Caenorhabditis elegans: one gene and its partners. The protein of the gene in region 1 interacts with the protein of each later gene in a pairwise test. Each region holds a gene or a part of one and is shown on either strand. Other genes may lie near its edges.

Region 1 (6,076 bases):
TACTCTCGCGTTTTGTTCCTTATTTAACATTTTTTTGTTTTTGAATTACCTTTGCAAAAAAAGATTGAATGGACGAGAAAAAATAAATATTCGAAGAGAAAAGTTGTGGGCGGCAGAAACCTTTTGAACTCTTCTCTTCTCATCAACACACAAAAGAATTCAAAGAATCAGTAATTAACCACCTCGTGAGTTTCCAAGTGTTTGGAGTGTGGTGATTTCTGGAGAAAATTGAGAATATTCTGTAGTTTTCCCACGAAGGGTGAAAACAAAAAATATTACGGGAACACTAAATTCTGAGAATGCGTATTGCGCATCACATTTGACGCTCAACGAAAAATTGGAGGAAGTTTAAATATCGCTGTCACAATTCGAAAATAAATTTGTTTCGAACTTTCCGCCCGTAAATCGACATTTAAAAAAATTACTGTAGTTTTCGCTACAAGACATTTTGCGCGTAAGATATGTTGCTCAATACGCATTCTCAGAATTTAGTGTGCCCGTAATAGAATGTTTAATCCTGTTTAAACGTTTCATAATTTGGGGAGCATCTTCAACAATTTGGCTTCCCCGATTCGGCTGCGCCCACTCATTGCTCCTCGCAAAAAAAAAACGAATCAAGAATTAAAATCCTGGGAACCCCATTTGATTGATGATCAGAGATATAAGAAGCTTATAAATAATTTAATGCGAGTGCAAGAATTCAGACGATTTTTGAATCTTAATGTGTCGCCCTTCTCTTTTCAGATACGTCATGACGTGATTTATCTGAAACGGAATCTTGAGTCTGAAATGGAAAACACTGAGATTTTTAAGGACGGTTTTAAAAAATAAACTTCGAAATTGCTGTGGAAAGAATTATTTTTCAACAAATTGGCACATTTTTTCCAAATTCAGAACTGCTCCGAATTCATTGCTCGCTTGGATTGAACACCAAGGATGCCCTTTTTCTGTTATTTGAATTTTTTGGCAAATACTGTTTTACTACTTGATCTTGTACTACAATTGGCTCTTTTACTACGTTTTATCTTTTACTAATGATTTTTTACTACGACTTGAAAATTAATTTTTATAGTATTATAATTCTAGAAGTAAACAAATGTAGAATATTCTAGTGAACTTCACATGTTTTCTTTGTACTGTTGGGCTACTGGCACTGTGGTATATCATGTTTTTTTTTTCTAGAAATTTATTCACTATGAAATCAGCAGAACTTATTGTGTACATTTGGCTCTTAAAAATTGATAGAGATAGAGTACACAAAGTTGACATTGACACTGACCAATTTTTAAAAATAGACAAAAACTACAAAACCAGAACCAAAACCAAGTTAATCTGGGGGAAATACAAAACCAAACTACGAAGACACTTTTTCACAAAAAGAATATAAAGTTCTATTAAAAATTAGCAAAACGAATCTTATATTGGCACCTCAACTTTTACAGATGATAATTAATTTCCTTGTTTGTAACTTATTCGTATGTTTTTTATTAATCTTCCTATGTATTATGTGTTTATTTTTATGTCTTTAAATGATTTTTATTATATCTCACTACAATCATATCCGACCTGTGCTTTGATGCGGCCACATCAGGAACTTTGAGGATTTTCATCCTTTCGGAACCCATTACAGTCTCAACTCCCCGCACTGAAGGAAGGCCCATAGCACACGGTGGCGGCGGACAAAACGCGAGCTAGCGAGTGCCACCGCAATATTACAAGAGTACCACTCTCGCTGCCTTGTGTGAGAGACGCAGACATAGGTATTAAAGGCGCATAGATTTATCTGCGTGGCTGGTCTCACTGCGCACCCTCCCCCTCCGCCGCCAGTTTGAATTCTAACCGTTCTCACATGTTTGCTTTGACTTGTTTTTGTTGATTTTTCTTCGAAATTTGTTATTTTTTCACGGTTTTTTGGAATAAAACCGTTTTTGTAAATCAATATAACAAAACTTGTTTTATTTAATTCAATTCATTTCAGAAAATGTCGTCGCGTAAACGAGGAATAACTCCATCGCGAGACCAAGTCCGCCGGAAGAAGTTATCGATTGAAGAAACCGACAGTATCGAAGTCGTTTGTCGTCTTTGTCCATATACTGGCTCGACTCCAAGTCTTATTGCAATTGATGAGGGATCTATTCAAACTGTTCTTCCACCAGCACAGTTCAGACGCGAAAACGCTCCACAAGTTGAGAAAGTGTTTAGATTTGGACGAGTTTTTTCGGAAAATGATGGACAAGCTACTGTTTTTGAGCGGACATCTGTTGATTTAATTTTAAACCTATTGAAAGGTCAGAATTCGTTGTTATTCACTTATGGAGTTACTGGATCTGGAAAAACGTATACAATGACGGGAAAACCCACTGAAACCGGCACAGGACTACTGCCGCGTACATTGGATGTAATTTTCAATAGTATTAATAATCGGTAAGCTTTTGAAACGAAAAAAGCAAATAATATTATTTTCTTCCAGAGTTGAGAAATGCATCTTCTATCCATCAGCACTGAATACATTCGAGATCCGTGCCACATTGGATGCTCACTTGAAACGCCATCAAATGGCTGCAGACCGTCTTTCCACATCACGCGAAATCACTGATCGTTACTGTGAAGCTATAAAGCTGTCAGGCTACAACGACGATATGGTTTGCTCGGTTTTCGTAACCTACGTCGAAATCTACAACAATTATTGCTACGATTTGTTGGAAGACGCCAGAAATGGGTAAGAAAAATCGAGCAATAATTGATAGTGACCCTCCGCTAGTTCCAGAGTATTGACGAAGCGTGAAATTCGTCATGATCGTCAGCAACAGATGTACGTCGACGGAGCCAAAGATGTTGAAGTCTCGTCAAGCGAGGAAGCTCTCGAAGTGTTCTGCCTTGGAGAAGAACGTCGTCGTGTATCGTCCACTCTTCTCAACAAAGATTCATCCCGTTCTCATTCCGTATTCACTATCAAATTGGTTATGGCTCCGAGAGCCTACGAGACGAAAAGCGTGTATCCAACAATGGACTCATCGCAAATTATCGTTTCGCAGTTATGTTTGGTAGATTTGGCTGGATCTGAGAGGTTTGTTTTTTTGTTGTAAACTGAAATATATATGTTTAATGAGAAAAATTTTAGAGCAAAGCGCACACAGAATGTTGGTGAACGTCTTGCGGAAGCCAACTCGATCAATCAGTCCCTCATGACTCTTCGTCAGTGTATTGAAGTACTCCGTCGTAACCAAAAGAGTTCCTCACAAAACCTTGAGCAAGTTCCATATCGCCAGTCAAAATTGACTCATTTATTCAAAAACTATCTGGAAGGAAATGGAAAAATCAGAATGGTTATTTGTGTGAATCCAAAGCCTGATGATTACGATGAAAACATGGTTCGTTCAGAATTCAAAGAATTTACTAATTATTTAAATTCGTAACTTTCAGAGTGCTCTAGCTTTCGCTGAAGAATCACAAACAATTGAAGTGAAAAAGCAAGTTGAACGAATGCCATCCGAGCGGATTCCTCATTCATTCTTCACCCAATGGAATTCTGAGCTAGATGGATCTGTTCGTATGGAGGATGATGGAAGTAGAGAAATTCCGTGCCCACCGACATTCTGTTTGACAGTAAGAATTTCACAAATTGAATGGTTTTGAACAAATTGTTTCCAGGATTGCAATGACAAAGATACGGTAGATTCCATGTATAAGTATGCTCGGAAACTTTCATCTCTTCAAAATTCATCAGAAGAGGGACCATCTTCAACTCTTCTTACTATGATTCGCCAATACATGATGGAAGCAGACTACCAGCGAGTAGAGATTGCACGTCTCAAAGATTCTCTAAACGACAAGGATGAAGAAATCAAGAAGCTTCGAGGTTTCTGCTCAAGATATAAGCGTGAGAACGCTTCGATGAAGGAACGAATTGCCTCGTGTGAGCAAGGAGAGCAAGAGAATGCTCTGGTTATGGAAAAGCTTATGGAACAAAAAATGGAGGACAGGAAGATTATTCAGTCACAGAAGAAGGCGATGAGAAATGTTCGTGGAATTATTGATAATCCATCCCCGTCTGTTGCTTCTCTTCGATCACGATTTGATCAAGAGAATGTGGCTCATCCAACAGCTCCAATCCAAACTCCACCACCGCCATATCAAACTCCAGGACGTGCTCCAGTCTTCAAAAAACGGTTAGAAGCCACTACATCGACCACTGTAATGTCTGGATCTTCAAGTGGAGGAAGTGGTCAACAGGGTTACGTTAATCCAAAATATCAAAGAAGATCCAAGTCTGCATCTCGTCTATTGGATCATCAGCCACTTCATCGAGTTCCAACAGGAACGGTTCTTCAGTCTCGTACACCGGCTAACGCCATACGGACTACTAAACCTGAGGTAGGAAAAAACATTAATAAATTCCGCAATTTTATTGTAATTCAATTGTTTTCCAGATGCATCAGTTGAACAAATCCGGAGAATACCGTCTCACGCATCAAGAAGTTGACGATGAAGGAAACATTAGCACGAATATAGTGAAGGTAAATTCCTTGGTTTCCACCCAAAAACACGCCTGTACCGTCCCGTTGTCGTTTTCCCGTGTCCTTATCACCCATCTTTCCTGATACAAAACTGTCCGTCTTTTCTTCTCACAAAGCACACACGTAACGCATTCTAACAGGCACCATCTAAACCACCAGAACTTCAACTGGAAGACTCGCAAAGCAGTTCGTATTCACCGTGTACGGATGTAAAATCGATAACGATATACTCTAATCATGATGTTGAAGAAGAAGATGAATGAGAATTATTTGAAATGAATGTTTGCTGGGGGAATGAGAAGATGAAGCTGCTCTTTTTACATTTTTATGTGTTTGTTGTATGTTTTTGATTGTTTATTGGCTATTTTAGATACTGTTTTAGTAGTGCTTGAGAAAACTGCCTGAATTTGCTTGATATATACTTTTTGAGTTAAAATTTCATGCTTAAAATTAACTAATTTAGTGCTAGTTCTATATGCATTTAATTTCAGTTTTTCATGTAATGTTTTAGGTCATATAACTTTAAAAATACATTTATTTTTGTGTTCCACTTTCTCATCTGTTGCTCATCTCGAATTTTTCAGGGAAATGTAATTCCAACAGTTTCCGGTGGCACTGCCGTGTTCTTCAACGATATCGAGAGACTCACTCACGAATCTCCGAGCACACGAAAGTAATTATAAGTGCCGTCTTTGATCTTTTTACCTCCATCCTGCTGCATTTTCATGTCAAATTTGTACCATACTCTTCAAATTTTCTCCAAATATTTATTAATTTATTATGTTTCTCATTCATAATCCCATTTTCCGAACTCGAAGAGAACTCTTGTTTTTTTGTAGACCTCACCGCATTTTTATGATCTTTCACTTCTTCGTCTTTTTCTCCTTCTACGCACAATTTTTTGATATCGATCTGAAGAACTCTGTTCATTTTTATTCCCGACGATGATTTGTGTACTAGTAAATGCTTTTGTATTTTAATTTTAATTAAACTCAAAGAATATAAAATATGAAAATAAGTTAGCTTTTATTTTCGTTCAAAAAAATGAATCTCAATAAATAAGACCCGATTTAGGTCGAGGGTTACATAGAAAATGGTGGGAAAAAGGCACGGTTTTATACAAATAATTATGATTTAATACGCGTTTTTTGATTTTTTGGTTGGTATTTCAAAAAATAATTCAATCGAAAAATAAAAAGGGATTATCATGAAAAAGAGGTCAGAAATATTGATTATCAGAGAGATTTAATTTTTTAAAATTAAAGTTAAATTGGGAAAAGCCAGGCGAGAGACAAGATCAGAAACCACGTGGTGAGAGAAATATGAGAAAAAAAAAAGAAAATCGGTGAAAATTAATTGCCTAGAGAGTATTTTTAAGATGAGTGAATACATTTACTGCATTCATCATGAACATATTATCCGGTGTTGCTGTATTTGTCAAGAAATTGGAAACATTTGCGATGATCTGAAATATACATTCGTTGAAACAGTGGAAATTTTGAAATATTTTCCGCAAGTCTGGCATGAAATTTGCAAGCGTGCCGCACCGTTTTTTTCAA
Region 2 (4,652 bases), on another chromosome or scaffold:
CTGTTGATACTTTTAACTATTAATTTTGTTTATTAAATGTGATAACTTCCACTATTCCATAAGATGGATTCAGTTACATTTTTATTGCATTCAATTGTTGTTTATATTGGTGCGCAAGTCCAATCGAATGCGTTGTCCGTCTATCCTCAAGAGAACCGGTCTTTCCGTTTCCTCGACTTTTATCGATTTTTGCATTGAACTGCGTGTTCGGTTTGATTTAAAAAAGGTTCTGTATTTTTTAATTTATATTTTAAATTTGAATTTTCAAAAAACTTTCCAGCTACATTTCGAGTTCTCGTCTTCTTCAAAATGTCCAATCTTTTTGACAAATAAACTCATGTGCCTGGACCGCACTCAAACAAACGTACATGCAATCTGAATGTTACATCTTTTCTTTATTTATCTCAAAAAATTTGTATTTACCCAAATACTCATTTAAATAGCCACAACATTTTTAGTCATGTTGGTACCCTTGAAAAGGTTGCTCTAAACTTTAAATTGTCAATTTGAAGCTCTATTTGAGATGGGGTGGGCTCTGGGAATCTTGTTATCTGCTCACTGGGTTTTTGTCGGTTTTCTTTCATTCTAAAGCAATTCTGGATATTTTTGAAATTTTGATTTCTGAAAACTTTCCACTTTCCACTTTCCACTAACTACTATCTTTTTTCTTCGTTTTATTTCAAAAAGAAAGAAATAAAGCGAAAAATTATGTTAACCTGTCGCTAAATATCGGAAAATCTCATATTGGCTGGGTACCGCCACGCGATGTATAATTAAAATAAAATTTTAGTGTGTGCGCCTTTAAATGTTACTGTAGAATTTTAACAATGTTTTTTTAACTATAAAAACAATTAATTTTGAGTTAAATAACAAAATAATGGAACATTTTAAAAAAATTAGAAGACACAATAATTTTCTTTCCGCAAATAAAATCGAAGAAAACAAGCCTAGAAATTGTACAGTAACAGGCGCAGACACCAAAACTTTATTTCCAGCGCGCGCGGCGAGACCCATCCGCAGACATGCACCTCCCTTGAAACATGTTTGAATTTTTATTTTTGTTTTGTTTCATTTAAATGCATTTTTGAACATTTTCAGCGATTTTTAAAGATTTTTTCGTCGTAAATTCCGTAATAAATTTTTCAGAAACATGCTCAACCTTTGCCTACATTTTTTCGCATAAAATTTACCATTTTTGAAGAGAATCGCAATTTTAAATGGCATTTGCAACATAAACTATCTGCTCCGCAAGCCTCTTATCATTTTCCCTCGCTTTCTGTAAATAATTGTGTCAAAGCTCTCGTTCTCTCATTCTCTTTCGAAAACGTTCTCTGTCATTTGCTTGCTCGATGTTTTATTTTTCGGCAAAAAAAACCTAGCGCGCAAGGAAAACCCGAGGTCAAAACCAAAAATATTATTCAACACCAAATAGGTATATGATGCGGAAGTCTAATAATTGTTTGGACAACGTCCTTTTCTATTTGCTCACCGAAACGTAACACTGAGCTTCGCGCGCGCGCTTCGTCCACCGCTCTCCACTTATAGTACGAATCTTTATTTCATTTATTGAAATGTTGTCGTTCGTCAAACGTTCTAAACAACCCGCATATTTCAGAATGCCCGGCGAATTTGCAAAGTTTCCGGAGCAATCAGGTATTTTACGAAATAATAATAATTTTTTTTAAAACTATGTTTTTAATTTCAGCTGGATCTCATCAATTTCGTAACCCACTCGATGAACTTACGGGATCAAATACAATAACAAATTTAACTGCACACGATTTTGATTATTTTACACAGTCCGAGAAAAATTCAAATTTATATACAAGTGAAAATACAAGCAATTCTAACAGATTAAATCTCGTAAGTAACATTATTCTTGCTAAATCGATTTTTAAAAATTCGTTTTTTTTTTCAGAATCAAAATATACCGGTCGGCACATTAATAGATGGATTTGAGCTTATTAATGAAGCTTCTGGCTCCGGCTTTTTAGATGATCAATTAGTGGATGTTAGCGATTATAGCCGAGATAGGACGACGAAGCTGGATAGGAATAGGAATTCTCCCGAGCTAATAGTTGCTCTTTTGCAACGAAAAGTTCAAGGAATTCGATTTTCATCGAATTATGGAAGAGAGGAAGAACCATGTGTTATTGAGGTGATTGAAGTGGATTTAAATGAGGAAAATGAGCCAAAAAGACCGAATAGCGATAGTTTTCGGGGAAAAAAACAGAATTTCATCTAAAATCGCCAATTCTCCGTGTCGTAGCTGCCGAAATTTGATTTTTATTTATTTTTTGTCATCTTTAAGTTTTTTAAACGCTTTTTTTGTTGATTTAGGTAATTTTTGAGCCGATAATCGATTGATCAACGGAGAAACAACCAAAATATGAGAAAAAAATCCGGCCGACACTCAAAAGCGTGCATAATTTGATGTTTTAGCTGAAATCATGTTTTTGTAAAGCATTTTGGAGAAGTTTCGTTATGAAATTTGGTCTTTTGCTTATTTTTTCCACAATTAAACATTTTTAATTTTATTTTCTATTTTCAGATCCCACCAGGAACAATGGTTCGCGAAATGGCAGATGATGATTGGAAAATGTCTGAATTAAAAGAATGGTTCACAAAATCAAGAGCTTCTTCGCATTTACGTGATGGATTAGCAATGCCCATGGAGGTATCGTAATTACCCTGATTTTTGCGGCTAAAACTACGGTAGCGGGTCTCGACGCGACAAATTTAAAAGAACTGTAATTCAAAATTTTCGTTCCCGGCGAATTTTCATTGAATTTGTATAGTTTTTCTCCAGAATTCTTGTTTTTTTTTTTGAAAAAACGATTAAAAAATCGATAAAAATTCCAAAAATTTGTCGTTTCGAGATCGGCTACCGTATTTTTGGCACAAAATTTTTCGTCAAATTAATGCCTTTTCAGTTTCTCAATTTTTTTAAATTTCAGGAACTCGACTGCACTCCTCTGATTTGTGCAATGATTACCAGATCCGATGTAATGAGAATAAACCAAGATCAAGCAATGTATATTTATTATCTTTATAAATAAAATTTTTTCCCTTTTCAGACATCTTCTGGCTGTCAGTGTAGAGAAACGAATAGAAGTTTATCAAAATTTCGAATGGTTCAATTTCATTCTGAATCTGAAAATTGGCGATTCTGTTTCTGTGGAAGTGGTAAGTATTTGAAATTATATGTTTCTCAAAGGAATCTAGTTTTTAACCAAAAAAAAAGAAAAATAAAACAACGAATTCAAAATAAAGAGACGCAGACGAGAAATGGGCGTCTCCTTGTATTCAGAATTAGACTGTCACACGTGACTGATTGAAATTCCGATGGCATGACTAACTTATAAGTTTCTTGAAAATAATATAATGGGATAGGAATTAATGGCCCACGAGTCACATTTTTTGCTAGGCCTCTGTAAATTCCGCTCTGACAAAGTCAATTTTCCGGCTTTAATTAAAAAAAAAAACGAATTTTTTTGAAAATCGAAAAAAAATTGGAGTCTCTTGCTCGAATAATGAAATTTTTTTGTTTTTTCGAATGAAATAGTGATTGTGCCTCATCTTAAATAGTTTACTAGTGTCCAAAAAATCGAGAAATTTTCGTTTTTATTTTTTATTCTCAAACTCTCGATTTATATTTATCTCTTCTGGTCCGGGAAAAAATTAAATCCGGGAAAATTTCAAATGTACAAAAAAAATACATCCACATAGATTATGATACTTCTGATAAAGGGTGTCGTTTTTCGGTTTTTCCAAAATAGAAAAATTGGAAATCGAAAAACAAAAATTCTCGATTTTTCGAATTTTTAAAAATTTCGGAAAATCGAAAAATCAAAAAGACAATTTTTTTTCAGAAAATTAACCATAAAATATGATTTTTAAAGTTTAATTTCGTTTACATTGTTGAGAAAAAAACAAAACAATTTATTCTAAAATGAAGAACAATGAACAAAATTTTAAAGCTAATTTTAGAAAAATCGAAAAATGAAATAGAGAACCGGTTCACGATATCATTGACACTGACCGAAATATGTTTTATTGAACAACATCGAGAGGGATTAAGCATACAGTCGGCAGAAAATTGAGAAATTCTTTCAGTTTTAATTTTAATTTGAATCAGAAGCAAGGGCGTCGGGTTTTCAATTTTTGAAAAAACTAAAAATCGAAAAATCGAAAACTTTTTAGAAAAATCGAAAAATGAAAAGTTTTCGATTTTTCGATTTTTAGTTTTTTCAAAAATTGAAAACCCGACGCCCTTGCTTCTGATTCAAATTAAAATTAAAACTGAAAGAATTTCTCAATTTTCTGCCGACTGTATGCTTAATCCCTCTCGATGTTGTTCAATAAAACATATTTCGGTCAGTGTCAATGATATCGTGAACCGGTTCTCTATTTAGTTCTTTCTCTCTCTCTTTTCAACACAAAAAACATAGAGTTCCTCTTTCTCTGTGTGAAAGTATAAGTTATCCTCTTCTCTCTCTCTCTCTCTCTCTCTCTAACAAACTATTTGCCTGTTTAGTTGTTTCTTTCTTTCCTCTTCATCGTCTCAACCAACTTGTTTCTCATTTCATTGGCGACGCCCTTCCTTCTCCCAATTTGTTGTCATCGAACTTGAATTGATTGAAACAAAATCA
Region 3 (4,960 bases), 5.7 Mb from region 1:
ATGTTATGAATGTGTTGTGGAAACTTCCGAAACTTGTACATTTTCCAGGATTTGGCAACTTTTTTGTTTGAGTCACATTTTCACTGTTTTGTTCTTTCTATCCGGTCTACAAAAGTGTCAAATTGAAACAATAGACGAATGTGGCAATAAGATGATTCAGAATACGAAAATATTCTTGAAGAACGCCCAAAAAAGAAACTTTGTTTTTTTTTTTGCCAAATGTTCCTCCAAACGGCACACCCTTTCATATTTCTATCGAGAATCGTTAAATTTTCGGTTCTAAACGAACGATGCACATGAAAATGGTAATGAAAGTTCTCTTTCACTGTCTGCGTTTGTCGTTCATTTTTAGTGGGTGTGAAATAGGGAATAAGGTGATAAATTTTGAGAATTGATCATCGCAGTGCCCTTTCTCTTCTTTTTGGACTTTATATGGATACCGCAATTCCTTCTTCAATTGACTCGAGTTTTGACTAGATTTTGGTCAACATTTTAAAGTGTGTTTTTTTTTGTAATTTCGAAACTCGAAAACAGGAGTACGCAGCCATTGCCGACCGGCAATTCTACAAAATGAGACGGTCGAGCATGTTCTCCCGATATTTTTCATTGAAATTTAATTATACATAGAAAAATATTTGCTTTATTTGAAACAACCGAGAAAGTGTTCAAAAATTGTCCGAAAGTTGAAAATTTACGTTATTTTTCCGCAATTTATAAAGCAAATGTTTTTCTATGTATCATCAAATTTCAATGAAAAAAAGGGAAACAAGTTCACCACCTCATTTTGTAGAATTTCCGTGCACCCCAGCTCGAGACTTTATATTCTGGTAGAATGGGCATTTCTCACCAAGTTTTCTTTTAAGTACAACGTTGCCGTTTTTTGTCGTTACCGTATTTCTATTTCTATCCAAAAGATTTTCAAATTAATTTCCCATGTCTTTGGTCTTTTCAATTGGCTACAGTACCCCCCCCCCCCCCTAAAACAATTCTTCCATTTGTACCAGAAGCCGTCCATCCGTGTCTATATTCGTTTGTTCTCTTTGTATTATGTGTCTTTTTCCTACACAAAAAAAATGAAATATGAATCACCATGCACGCGTTTTCTTCAATTCTCTTAGCTTTTCGTTTGAACAAAAACTCTGCTTTCGATTTTATTAAACTTGAAGATTGAAACAAAAAAACTTCAGTTTTTAGTTTTCCAGGATGTTTAGTTTGTTATCTCGTTGATTTCTCATCGTAAATATGGAGCAACTAAATTTTTTATACCATCTCAAAATTCCAACTATTGCCAACTTTACGTGCCACAGCGGCCGGAAATCAGGTTTTTGTTAATTATCACTATTTTGCGCATTTTAGATGTTTATTGTGGGGTTTTCATTAATTATTTTACATTTCAAGTCGTTAGGTGCAGTTTAGACAAAAAAAACCAATTTATGTGCTTATTTACTGAAAATGTACCATAATCAATTAAAGGCAGAGTACCGAAATCTGAAACAATATTTTTTAGACCAAAAATGACCCAAAACTACCGAATTTCGTAATGAGACGTTTTGAAAATTTCTCAAAAAAGTTATGGCGGTTCAAAGTTGTGGAAAAATTACCATTTTTAAGCTAAAATCTCAAATTTTGGCAATTTTCGCAGAGGTTACTTAAATTTTATTTAAAAGAAAAAAGTTTTCATTGGAACTTAATTTTTATTCAATTATCACCTTTTAATGCATGTATTCGCAGTTTATTACGTGTTAAAAATCATTAGAAATGTCGATAGAAAAGAATCGACATTTCTAATGATTTTACCTTTTGGCCGTACGATTTAAATCATGTATTATTCTCTCATTCTCACGCTTCTTTATCAATACCTTGATTTTTGCAGAAGCGAATAATATAGGACTGCTAGAAAACTTGCAATAATCAACGTCTAAAATGGCGCAACCAAAACGCCTTGACCAGGAAGAAGAGGTATTTATTTTCAGAAGACTATACAACTTTCTAACATAAATATTTTCAGGTCGTTCCGGCGATCCGTCACGATGACGCCGAATGGAAGATCATCCAACAGAATACATTCACCAGATGGGTCAAAAATCATTTGCAAAAGGCTGGAGAAACTATTGAGAGTCTGGTGAGTTTTGGATTACTTTATTCAGTGATTTTATATTTATAATTTCAGGAAACTGATTTCTCGGATGGTCTCAAGCTTATTGCATTGGCTCAAGTTCTCTCCCACAAGAATGTTGGAAAATTCAACAAGAAAGTGGCATTTCGTTCACAGAAGCTCGAAAATGTGTCTCTTGCGTTGAATTTCTTCCAGAATGAAGAGAATATTAAGATTATCAATATTGGTAAGCAGTCCTTCACTGAAATCCTGAAAAATAGTATCGTAGAAACGATATATTTTCCTTTTTCGAGACTGCTCCGCGCGGTGAAGCAGTTCAAAAGGACGAATCCGTAGTTCAAACATGTTTTTGTTTGTTTTCAGTGTATGGGAGCTCTCGCCCGAGCACACGGAGTTCCCCTTTCCTCTATTATTACGAACAACATAGGTTGACCACCGTTTTTCGCAACAAAAATACCCATTTTCGGGACTTTAAGCCAATATTTCGACGTGTCAATTAGTGTCGTTTTTAGAGAAAGAATTTCGGAAAAACGGCCACTTTAAAAAACATTCAAAACACTGAATATTTCAATTTTAATTTACAAGTTAATGTTCATTTCGATACTATCTCTTAAAGAAAATCTGAGAAATATTTTCAATTGACTCCAAATTTTTCCCAGATTCTGAATTTCTATGTGAAAAAATTCAAAAAAATTTCCCTGATTTTATATCCAATAAGGATTAAAAATATCTCGTAAATATACAAAATTGTCGTAAATCGACACATGGCGTCTCTGGTGCGAAAATTCGTCGTTTGAAAAATCAGGGAATGTTTTGTGAATTTTCTCATTTTGATTTCAGAATCAGGAGAGAGAACGACAAAAAAAAAAAATCACAAGGGTTACTGTATTTTTTTGCGTTTTAATTCTTTACCACACGAGCTTTACCGAAAATGTCTCGAACTTTTGACAAAGTCTGATTAAAACCTGACTTCTCAATGTTTTGGCTCAATACAGAATCATTCAAACATTTTAATAGTTATATATTCGGTCACCACAACCCATTTTCTATTTAATTGCATTATTTTAAATTACAGACAGTACTCATATTGTGGATCATAACAAGAAATTGATTCTGGGACTCGTTTGGACATTGATTCTCCATTATTCAATTTCGATGGGATGGATTCAAGAAAAAAGAGAAGATGGAGATAATAAGGAGGAGACTCCGAAGCAAAAGCTCCTCAATTGGATTCGTAATCGTCTTCCAGGTACCATTTCGAATTGCAACATTTACTCATCACCCTAAAGTTTCAGGAATGCCGATTTCCAACTTCACTTCCGACTGGAACGACGGAGTTGCTCTCGGTGCACTTGTCAATTCGATGGCTCCAGGAGCACTTGAAGACTGGGAAAATTGGTCGCCAAATGATGCTCTGGAGAACACTGAGAAAGCCATGAAGTCTGCTCAAGATTTGCTTAAAGTTGCTCCACTCATTGCTCCAGCTGAGATGATTCATCCGGAAATTGATGAAATGTCTGTAATGACATATCTTTCACAGTTCCCTGCAACAAAACCAATAATAATGAAGCCAAAGGTTCAAGCGACTATTTCAAATTTGGACAAAATTCTCCAAGTCAATGATCCTAGAGAGTTTGATTTGAAGCTTTCTCGTGATGGATTTAAGCCGAAAGTCTCGATCCGAGATGAAGATGGACAGGATATTCATTTGAGTCTTAAAAAGGTTGAGGATAAAGAAAACGCCTACAAAGTCAAGTTCACTCCTACAAAGATTGGATTTATCCACGTGGATGTAGCCGCGAACGATGTTCACACGTTTGAGACTCAGACCATTCCTGAGGCTAGCGTCATTTGTCAGGTAGAGAAAAAATTTATATATAATCTGAATTTGTTCTTCAGGTTGTTCCAATCGCCCGCCTTCTCGATTATAACAAAACCGCCAAAGTCGGAGATGACGTCAAATTCGCCGTGGTCGACGCCATTGAAGGTCCTGTTGAAGCAATTGTTGTTGATCCAACTGGAAAAGAGCACCGAATGGTTATCTTGGATGGTACATCACCAGGAGAACATTCATTCGAATACAAAATTCCGTGTATTGGACTACATTCAGTCAATGTTTTCCACAAGAAGCTCCCATTGACCGGATCGCCATTCCCACTGCGTGGAAAACCAAAGAGTGCGTATATTTATAAATATAAGAATCGAGTTTCTGGATGCACCACGAATTCAAGATCTGGTGGAATTAGGGATCTGGCACAAAACACAATTTTTCTCAAAGAAAAACGTGACAACTGCTCCATGTTGCGTGTTGTTAAGCATATTTTCTTGAAGAGAACTTTTGAAGAAAACTGTTTTTTCTTCGAGAAAAATTGCGTTTTATGCGTTGGCACGGTGACAGATCCGGAATTCCACTAAATCTTGAATCCATGATGTCTCTGTTTCTGTATTTCAAAAAAGTAATGAAATTGTTTTTCAGATTCGTTCAAAGTGTGGGGACGTGGAATTGCTCCAGAAGGAATTCGCAAAAATGATGTCGTTGGTGTCCACGTTGAATCGTTGGATCCGGAAGAAAATATCGCCAACGCAAACATTTCTTTGGAAGTGTTGAAACCGTCGGATGGTTCTCATCTACCAGTTTCAGTTGGCTACAATGACGAATCTCAGTCAATGGATTTCGAATATTCGCCAAAGCAAGCACCTGATGATCTAGAAGTACTCGTTAAGGTTGCTGGTGAAGTCATCGAATCTCATAAGATCCATGTGGCACCGGAAAGCTCTTCGAAGATCAGAGCATTCGGAGCAGGACTTGAAGGCGGAATTGTAAATGAGCCATGCGTGTTTGAT

Evidence for each region. The genes of interacting proteins can lie anywhere in the genome.
Region 2: the proteins of zen-4 (region 1) and cyld-1 interact in a two-hybrid assay, tested with the Caenorhabditis elegans proteins (one large-scale study listed by BioGRID).
Region 3: the proteins of zen-4 (region 1) and fln-1 interact in a two-hybrid assay, tested with the Caenorhabditis elegans proteins (one large-scale study listed by BioGRID).

What each region holds. Positions count from the first base shown.
Region 1 is NC_003282.8:6,116,243-6,122,318, forward strand, and holds zen-4 (Kinesin-like protein), read left to right. Parts: upstream 1-1,972; 5' UTR 1,973-1,981; coding exon 1,982-2,424; intron 2,425-2,470; coding exon 2,471-2,719; intron 2,720-2,761; coding exon 2,762-3,067; intron 3,068-3,121; coding exon 3,122-3,371; intron 3,372-3,423; coding exon 3,424-3,606; intron 3,607-3,651; coding exon 3,652-4,374; intron 4,375-4,430; coding exon 4,431-4,517; coding exon of another isoform or gene 4,518-4,601; exon of another isoform or gene 4,602-4,657; coding exon 4,658-4,780; 3' UTR 4,781-4,855; exon of another isoform or gene 4,856-5,101; coding exon of another isoform or gene 5,102-5,194; 3' UTR 5,195-5,535; downstream 5,536-6,076. Other genes in the region: M03D4.4 (C2H2-type domain-containing protein), read right to left, coding at 5,878-5,982.
Region 2 is NC_003281.10:9,907,622-9,912,273, reverse strand, and holds the start of cyld-1 (ubiquitinyl hydrolase 1), read left to right. Parts: upstream 1-1,615; 5' UTR 1,616-1,616; coding exon 1,617-1,653; intron 1,654-1,705; coding exon 1,706-1,863; intron 1,864-1,918; coding exon 1,919-2,158; intron 2,159-2,551; coding exon 2,552-2,677; intron 2,678-2,957; coding exon 2,958-3,034; intron 3,035-3,077; coding exon 3,078-3,186; intron 3,187-4,652.
Region 3 is NC_003282.8:372,976-377,935, reverse strand, and holds the start of fln-1 (Calponin-homology (CH) domain-containing protein), read left to right. Parts: upstream 1-1,923; coding exon 1,924-1,959; intron 1,960-2,008; coding exon 2,009-2,122; intron 2,123-2,170; coding exon 2,171-2,342; intron 2,343-3,191; coding exon 3,192-3,365; intron 3,366-3,405; coding exon 3,406-3,974; intron 3,975-4,015; coding exon 4,016-4,292; intron 4,293-4,332; exon of another isoform or gene 4,333-4,415; intron 4,416-4,592; coding exon 4,593-4,960.